Coturnix japonica: one gene and its partner. The main gene of each other region encodes a partner of the protein of the gene in region 2 in a complex. Links are inferred from orthologs where the notes say so. Each region holds a gene or a part of one and is shown on either strand. Other genes may lie near its edges.

Region 1 (3,818 bases), on a different chromosome or scaffold from region 2:
ATTAAAACTAGCCTCCAGCCTCCAGTTCCAGGCTGTTTCATTGTGCCAGACTGTTGGTCACAGGAAAGCACAGGTTAGGAGGCACCTCTGAGATGGAATCCAGCCTTCCATTGTAAAAGCAGCCCATCCAGCCAAACCTTCACAAGGTTCTTATTCAAAGCGCCTTATCATTACTCCTACCTTTTCCATCATCCCTAAGACTTGCATAAAGTACAGATCTTGAATTCATGCCTCTCCCATTAGTTGAAATGAACATTATCCTACTTCTCCTCTTCCCCCCACACCTGACCATGCCTTGAAAACATGCTCTGCTTAGAACTGTGAGTTAATAAAAGCAACTTCAATGAAGTACCAAAAAATCACAGCAGGAGACAAAACTAATAACCACAGCAGTTACTTGTTATGAGAACCAAACATACAGCAGTAAGTCATTTCAAGCATACCTGGGAATACTCAGGTTCTCTGGAAGAACTCTCATCATTTCTAAATAGCTTCACAGCTTTAAGATATGCTTCCGTAACCTCAAGCTTGGCCTCATCGAAACCTGAGTAAATTTAAACAAAGTTGCATAACTCTCAGAAATTAATACTTCTATTCAAAAACTGAACATTCAAAGTATTTTTTTTTCCAAGGCACACCACTTCATATTCCACTCCCAAAGGAACTACTCAGGAACGATACATAAATTACAGTACAGGGTGGTGGGGCATCTGTTTTTTTCTGTCTGTTTTACTTTCTCTCTTCATACTGAGGAACAAAATAAGCTCTTTAAACATTAGAAGTTGTAGCTAATTAAACTTACAGATTTGCCCCTTAAGTTTATGAAGATTCTCTGATATTAAGATTTACTTGTTTAAGACAGATCACACGTTTAGCTGATAATATTCAGCATTACTGGCCACTGTTAAGAAATCTGATTTGTTTGCTTTGCGCTGACCAGCCCATGCATGTTTGTTATTAAAAATGCTCAAATATGTCAGATCTCAGCATCAAAAAGACTTACTAGTTCAGGTAAGCTTTCTTCTTATCTATTCATTACCCTGTGGTCTTCTATGTTAGTTCTAGCCTGACAAGGAATGCATATCCTTCTGCCTTAGTTTAAGGTGTCAGTAGAAGTCTTCAAGTGGAAGAAATCACAGTGAAAAAAAATCAGAAACATGCTGTGATTTGATTCACTGCTCCATTATCCTGATTTGGCTTTTTAGGGACGTTTCATTTTGCACTACCACACATGAAACTATCACAGTGAATGTCCTCCTAGGATTTCATCTTTACCTGTATGCTTTAAGTGCTTCAGCGTCACATTATCAACAGGGAAAAAGCTCAGAATAGCACCGTATTCAGGACACATATTTGCTATTGTGGTTCGATCTGCCACAGACAGCTGGGAAACTCCACTCCCAAAGAACTCCACAAATTTTCCAGCAACTTCAGCTTGCCTAAGATGCTGTATAAAAGAACACAACATTTGGTATACAAAGAAACAATGGAAGCAATGCATCTTGCAAACAGCACAAAAACCCCACAACTTATGAAGTACTGAGTACTAAATTCAAGGCTGGATGTTGACATCGTAAGACACACTTCTATTGGCAGTTGTGTTCTTCAGATGTCCAAGGCAAAAACAGGTGGATGCTTCCCAAAGCATCATACCAGAAAGAACATTTTTAAAGCAACCAAAGCTCTTAAATGCTTTAACACTGGCTCTCAAATGACTAGAACAAGAAGTTCTGTGCCATGATGGCAAAGCCCTGGCTTCAGAAGGTACATGTTTTAGTTACACCAGCAGATGGGCTTTTTGTCTTGTAACACTTTAGATAAAAAACGGGTACACAGAAGTTTGAGCTTGAAGAGAAGCCTACATGCTGTCAAAAGACAAGAAATAGCCAGGATTTCACTTCTCAAAACCCATGGATTGCTTTGTCTGAGCAGGCACTGAACTCACCTTTGTAATGCCTAGAACGATGTCTATGGACGTAGCCAGTGGGCTGGCTGTGCCCGTCAGTTCACACCCAACCACTTCAGGCAGAGTGAAAGTAACAGGCATCCCCAGCATCACAGCTTCTGTTTCAATTCCCCCAACACCTGCAGTGAGAATATTACCTTGTTTTTCATCAGCTTAAGTAAACAGACACTAAATATTTTTATGTTCTCAAGTCTAATAAAACTCTTCCTATAGGTTTATAGGCTGTAGCAAGAAAGAGTTTACTATTAAATATTTGCACATGAAAAAACAAGACTACTGCCAAAGTGGTCTGACCACACTTCACAAGAAAGACATTCTGTATGTAAGTTTTGCTTTCCACAATGAAGAAAATCTTACTCCAAATTTTACATTACATGCACAAAAAGCAACCAGGATATCAAAAGGTTTGGGGTTTTCTTTTTTGCTATTTTTAAATTACATCAAGCAGCTTTTGATGGTAAGAAACATTAGTCAAGACAAAAAAAACACATTCTGAAGAATTCACAACTGAGCCTGAAACAACTCTAGGAAGTAGGAAGAAAGTATTGCTCAGTAATGCCTCAGTAAGCCTTTCAAACTGCTGTCAAGTTACTGTTAGCATACTTACCCCAGCCCAAGATACCCAAGCCATTTACCATGGTTGTATGAGAATCTGTGCCAACCACGCTATCTGGATATAGGAAATCTTTCACATCAAATACAACTCTTGATAGATACTCCAAATTAACCTGGTGTGCCATTCCAGTCTCTGGTGGTATTATGGAAGTATTCTTGAAAACTTTCGAACTCCACTGTTATTTTTCCAAAAAGAGGAAAAGAGAGAGATTTTTCTCAGGGATTTATTCAATTCTTTTTGGAACACAACAAAAACAACAAAGCTGATATGCAATGCAATAGTAATTGCTATTTATGTGCCTTGTGCTCATTATTCCAACAGTTACATGAGTTCCTTGGATCCCATGCATTCTTAAATGGTTGACAAGCCCATACGCTCAATTCTGCTGAAGGCTGAATCAGAAGTTCCTAAGTCTCAAATGCAGGACTATACAAGGCTCTTAATTTCTAGCTCACACAACTGATTTTCAAGCACAGCCAAGACTAATATTTAGACAACAGAATTAGCATTAACATCTATCACAGATTTCAGTTTAGGTTTTACATACCTGTGTGTGACTAAGGAGGCAATGTATACAAGTGCCTCACTACATACAAGCTCAGGATGCCACATAGCTACAAAAGAAACTGCCATGAAGGCTTGAAACAAAATCCAGCTTGGTTATTTCCCCCTTCACACATACAAGCTGATGTGCAGCTTCTCTGAAAATTTCCTAGTCTACTTACATGAATAGATTAGGATCATTTCATTGGATCCCTAAACCACATTAAATTAGTGGATGAGGATCAAACACCAACACTGCAGATCCCTGGCTATAAGGAAGCTGATACTCACCACAAGATTTGCATTCAAAACACATCTGCTGGCACTGCTGCCTATTTTGAGAGTAGCAATACTTCAATATCAGCTTCCATTTAATATTTCTAGCTTCAGTAAGATTTGCAACACGAGTATGGATAAACAAGCTTGTTATCCAAAAAGCCAATTGTGATCTATAGCACAGAGCTTGCACTTGCAGCTTAATAAGTGTTAACTTTATCCCGTACATTCACACTGACAAGACCAAACCAATCTGTATCCACTTTTTCCAATCAGAATTGAACATCCTCTCCCCTCCATGTAACAGCTAGATTTACAGCTTATTTAAACTGAAACTCATAAACCTGTTACTAGCCCATTTTACACTCACACATTAAACTCAGATTTACAGCCTGACAAGCTACATTCATTATGTAA
Region 2 (3,818 bases):
AACTCACCATAACAGAGGTGTTCTGAAAGGCTGCAGAAACAGGAATGCTAAGACTTCGTGGAAGAACAGGGAGATGACTCTGCAGTCCAACAAGAAGTATAATTGTTTGCACGAAATCAACAATGAAAACCTCATTGAGGGAACAGACAGTAAGCATCACTGGACTAAACCCGACGGCTCTGAAAACTTCAGTTCTGCGTATGTGTGGATGCTGAATGCAGATGATTTAGCTGATATTGAAGATGCTGCTGAGTGGAGACACAGAAATGTTGAAGGATTTTGTCTTGTGGAGCCAGCATCCCACATTAATTGTTCTGCATCTTGCTGCAGTAGAGACATTTATGGTTTAAGGACTAGAGGGTGGCAGCAGCACTGTGCTTCTACTGACTTCATTTACTGCGGTCACTCATTTTGCTGTGCTGGAACAGCACTAAGAACTATTCGAGCACTTCCAGAGTCCTCTGCACTGTGCAAAAAACCACCAAGGACTAAACAGTCAGAGGAAAAAGACTTGGCCTACTCTGGCAGTGACAAACCAGATGAAGAGACTGCACGAGTTCTTCAGTTTCTCAGTCTGTCTGGGTGTTACCAGATCACAGATCGTGCTCTCAGGTGAAAAGACGTTTCTGAGCTGTTTTGCTGCAGTGTGGTTTTTGTATTATCTGTGTGCTTGGGTTGCTCTGGGTTGAATCCACCTAGTCGCAGTTTAAGCATTTACATTGAGAACATCCAGTATATCTTAAGCAGTCCTTGCATCTCAAAGTATTGAGAATAGCAGATGTGAAAATTTTCTCCCAACTCTTCCTTTGAATGAAAGGATTAAAAAAGTTTCTTTTAGACAGCTCCTCTGAAATGAAGCACTTTGGTAAGTTTGCTTGCAGTAGATAAAAGCCTGACTTATTACTCAATGCCTTGTATTATGTCAGAAATGTGCAGCTACAGCTTCATAATGAAAATGAGACAAGACAGAAATGCTTGCAGTCACTTGCTCAGATGTGCTGTAGCTCCTGGGACTAATTAGAGCTGCTTGCAATTCAAGACTTCGTTCCTACTTGTACTGTACACTTTAGCCCGTGGAGAAACACTGTGAAGCACTGCAGGCACTGAATTGCCTCTCCATACACTTTGACACAGAATTTAGAGTACAGCTGTTCAGGTGTCTCCTAGCAGTTACTCAGGGACAGACAGCTGTGCTTTGCGGCTGAGCCTGATGTTGTCCAGGTGTAGGAGCAGACTGGTACTGCTGTCTGTGGTTTATTTGGCAATGGACAGGTAATGCTGCGTGTAGTTGACATGTTACCAGTGTTATTCTTCACTGAGTCCTATAGAATCAAAGGAAGACTTGATGCTTGAGTCATAGGGGGTGATTAGTTGTGGTCTCACATCAGTGCTTTTTGGTTACAGGGAAATGTTAAGAGTTGAGGGTATATTCTGCAGTAAGTGCTTCTTGCACTTCTGTAGTACTTTGGGTCCCAGAAGAAAAAATAATGAGACTCTAATGTACATTCATTTCATATAAACTGAACTTTATATTGATAGCTGGTTTTGTTAGTTGTTCTTTTTCCTGTCTGCTGACAAGGGAGGGTTTTGTATACTCATGCTTTTAGGACATAAAAGTGAAAAGGCCTTTGCTTGAACCTGGAACATGTTGATTGAAGCGTGAGTGGCTTTGTCTGTTCTCCCCTTTCTGACAGGTTTGCTGTCCTGTGAGCGCAGAGGAGCAGTCAGCCTAACACTGAGTGTGGGGTCAGATGCACTACAGCCTTGAGGCTCCTTTACCTGCAGTTGAACTCCTGCACTTGGAGTGAAAATAGAATTTGGCTTGAATAGTGTGTAGTGCTGTGATGGCAGAGAGAGGCTCAGCTGGTAAAGATTCATCTGACCCAAGGAAATACAAATTTGAGTTTCAAACTGACTAATAAAAACATAATACTCAAATTTTTTGGAAATTTTACACACCAAACTTGCAGTTCTGTTTTTGGGATGTGTTGAGAAATACACATCGCCATGGGAGTCTCACCAGTATCAGTGGTGTGTTGGAGAAGTGTGTCATGCTGGCTCCTAGAAATACTTGGTCATCCCCAGAATCATTAATGAAAAGTGGTTTCCCACAGAGCTGTATTTCTGTCAAAGGGAATTGTTAATTTCTGTAGAGATGGATTCATTTTTCAGCCCTGTCGTGTGGCTTCAAGGCTGATTAACCGTATGGGATGCCAGACTTGAAATTAAGTGGCTTATTAGAGGTGTGGTTTTCTTGCAGGATGTTAGTAAATACGTGACGTGGTGACATACAGGAGTACTTGTCAGCATAGTGCTGTGCCAGCTTTTAACACCCCTCTTTCTGTCTGTTCACAGGGCATTGACTTTGGGAGGAGGACTGCCACACTTGGAGCACCTCAATCTCTCGGGTTGTCTCACTGTAACTGGTGCGGGCCTGCAGGATTTAGTTTCTGCATGCCCTTCTCTAAATGATGAACACTTTTACTACTGTGACAACATTAACGGTAATGTCTTTTTATGAAGATGTGATCCTTGTCTGGGGAGTAATGTCTGGCTTAAGGATGTTTAAGAAACAAAGAAAAAAATCCCACCGCCAAAAAAACCCCAACACGCTGCAGCACTGCCAAAACCACACAAACTAAAAGCCTGCAAACTCTTTTCTTGGCTGCACAGCACTGAATTCAAGTGCTAGTTACAGAATCAGAACTGTTATGTCAGGTTGGCTTTTTGTATTTAAGTTTAATGCAGTTCTGTATTGCCTAGGGGGAAGGCATTCTTGGTCCATGTTCTCTTACTTTCTAAGCCTCTATTACCTATGCTAATCTGAAGTAAGTATATAACTGATACATGGTTGTCTTCTTCATCTCTTCCCTGTAAATGATGTTGAGTGCTTTCTTTATGGTGCTAAATCAAGAAAGAGCTGTCATTAGATTTGTAGCTTAGTGATTTTTTTGGGGGTGATGGAGAGAGGGCAGAGCTGGTTATGCAAACCTCACACGTTACAGTGGTTTGGGTGTAGAATACTATCATGTGTCCTTGTAGGAAATGTAACTTGGTCTTTCTAGCTTTGCTTGAATTACTTAGGGTTGAATGTTAGCTGGAGAAGGATCTGGAGAAATGCATAAAATATGTTTGTGGTGGAAGTCTTAGCGTTCACTGCAGCGCAATCCAGTCTTATGTCAGGTCCAGTAAGCATTCATAGCATTAGAGATGGGAACCACGGTGTGATTTTATTCCATGTGTGAACTTAAAACAGGTAAGTGCAACAGAATGGAAAGGAAGGATAATTGGGTTCACAGGGCTATAAGAACTGTGTGTAAAACAATATGGTATTTCCCTGATAGTTCATGGCAGTCAGCTCAGTTGGCATCTGTACTGAGCTGTAGCCACAGCAGCTATACAGGATGCCACAGCTTTGGTACTGTGAGTGAAACTGTACCGATGCTTGGGTATTCTGTCCATTGAAAGTCATGTGAGGTGATGTGCTTTACTGGACTGGATCCTTATGTTACAGGTCAGAGTATTAAATCATTTTTGCTTCCATAATTTTTGGATGACTTCATGGACTTTTGTGACACATTGATGCATTTCTGGTTTGTTACCTGGTTCTTTTCCTTCTTGACTTCTAAAATCTCTCCTTGCATTTCAATCTGGAAACTTTTATACCTTTTTAAAATCCTTCACTGACTCTTTCCTGCATCAAGTTGAACTTAATGTCTTATATGGAACCCTTTTCCTCCTTCATTTTATTCCTTTTTTCTTATAGTTTCCTATTTTTCCACTTGTCAGTAATCCCGGTTCTGATGCCCTGGTTTGTC

What was found.
Region 1: the proteins of FBXL5 (region 2) and IREB2 are in contact, whole or in part, in a cryo-EM structure (PDB 6VCD), measured with the Homo sapiens proteins. The link is inferred for Coturnix japonica from reciprocal best matches to the Homo sapiens genes FBXL5 and IREB2. Residues at the interface, in NP_036293.1 of Homo sapiens: Asp656, Glu657, Tyr661, Cys662, Asp663, Asn664, Ile665, His669, Ala670, Asp671, Thr672, Ala673, Ser674, Gly675, Cys676, Gln677, Asn678, Leu679, Gln680, Cys687, Arg688, Ser689, Gly690, Glu691; in NP_004127.2 of Homo sapiens: Asp89, Phe90, Ser129, Asn217, Val220, Glu221, Arg224, Arg228, Ala758, Gly759, Ser760, Arg763, Asn764, Thr777, Pro778, Arg779, Asn782, Ser783, Tyr784, Gly785, Ala786, Arg788.

What each region holds. Positions count from the first base shown.
Region 1 is NC_029525.1:2,879,423-2,883,240, forward strand, and holds part of IREB2 (iron-responsive element-binding protein 2), read right to left. Parts: intron 2,758-3,818; coding exon 2,574-2,757; intron 2,086-2,573; coding exon 1,946-2,085; intron 1,448-1,945; coding exon 1,276-1,447; intron 545-1,275; coding exon 444-544; intron 1-443. UniProt on the Homo sapiens protein: RNA-binding protein that binds to iron-responsive elements (IRES), which are stem-loop structures found in the 5'-UTR of ferritin, and delta aminolevulinic acid synthase mRNAs, and in the 3'-UTR of transferrin receptor mRNA.
Region 2 is NC_029519.1:69,533,450-69,537,267, forward strand, and holds part of FBXL5 (F-box/LRR-repeat protein 5), read left to right. Parts: coding exon 1-612; intron 613-2,355; coding exon 2,356-2,504; intron 2,505-3,818.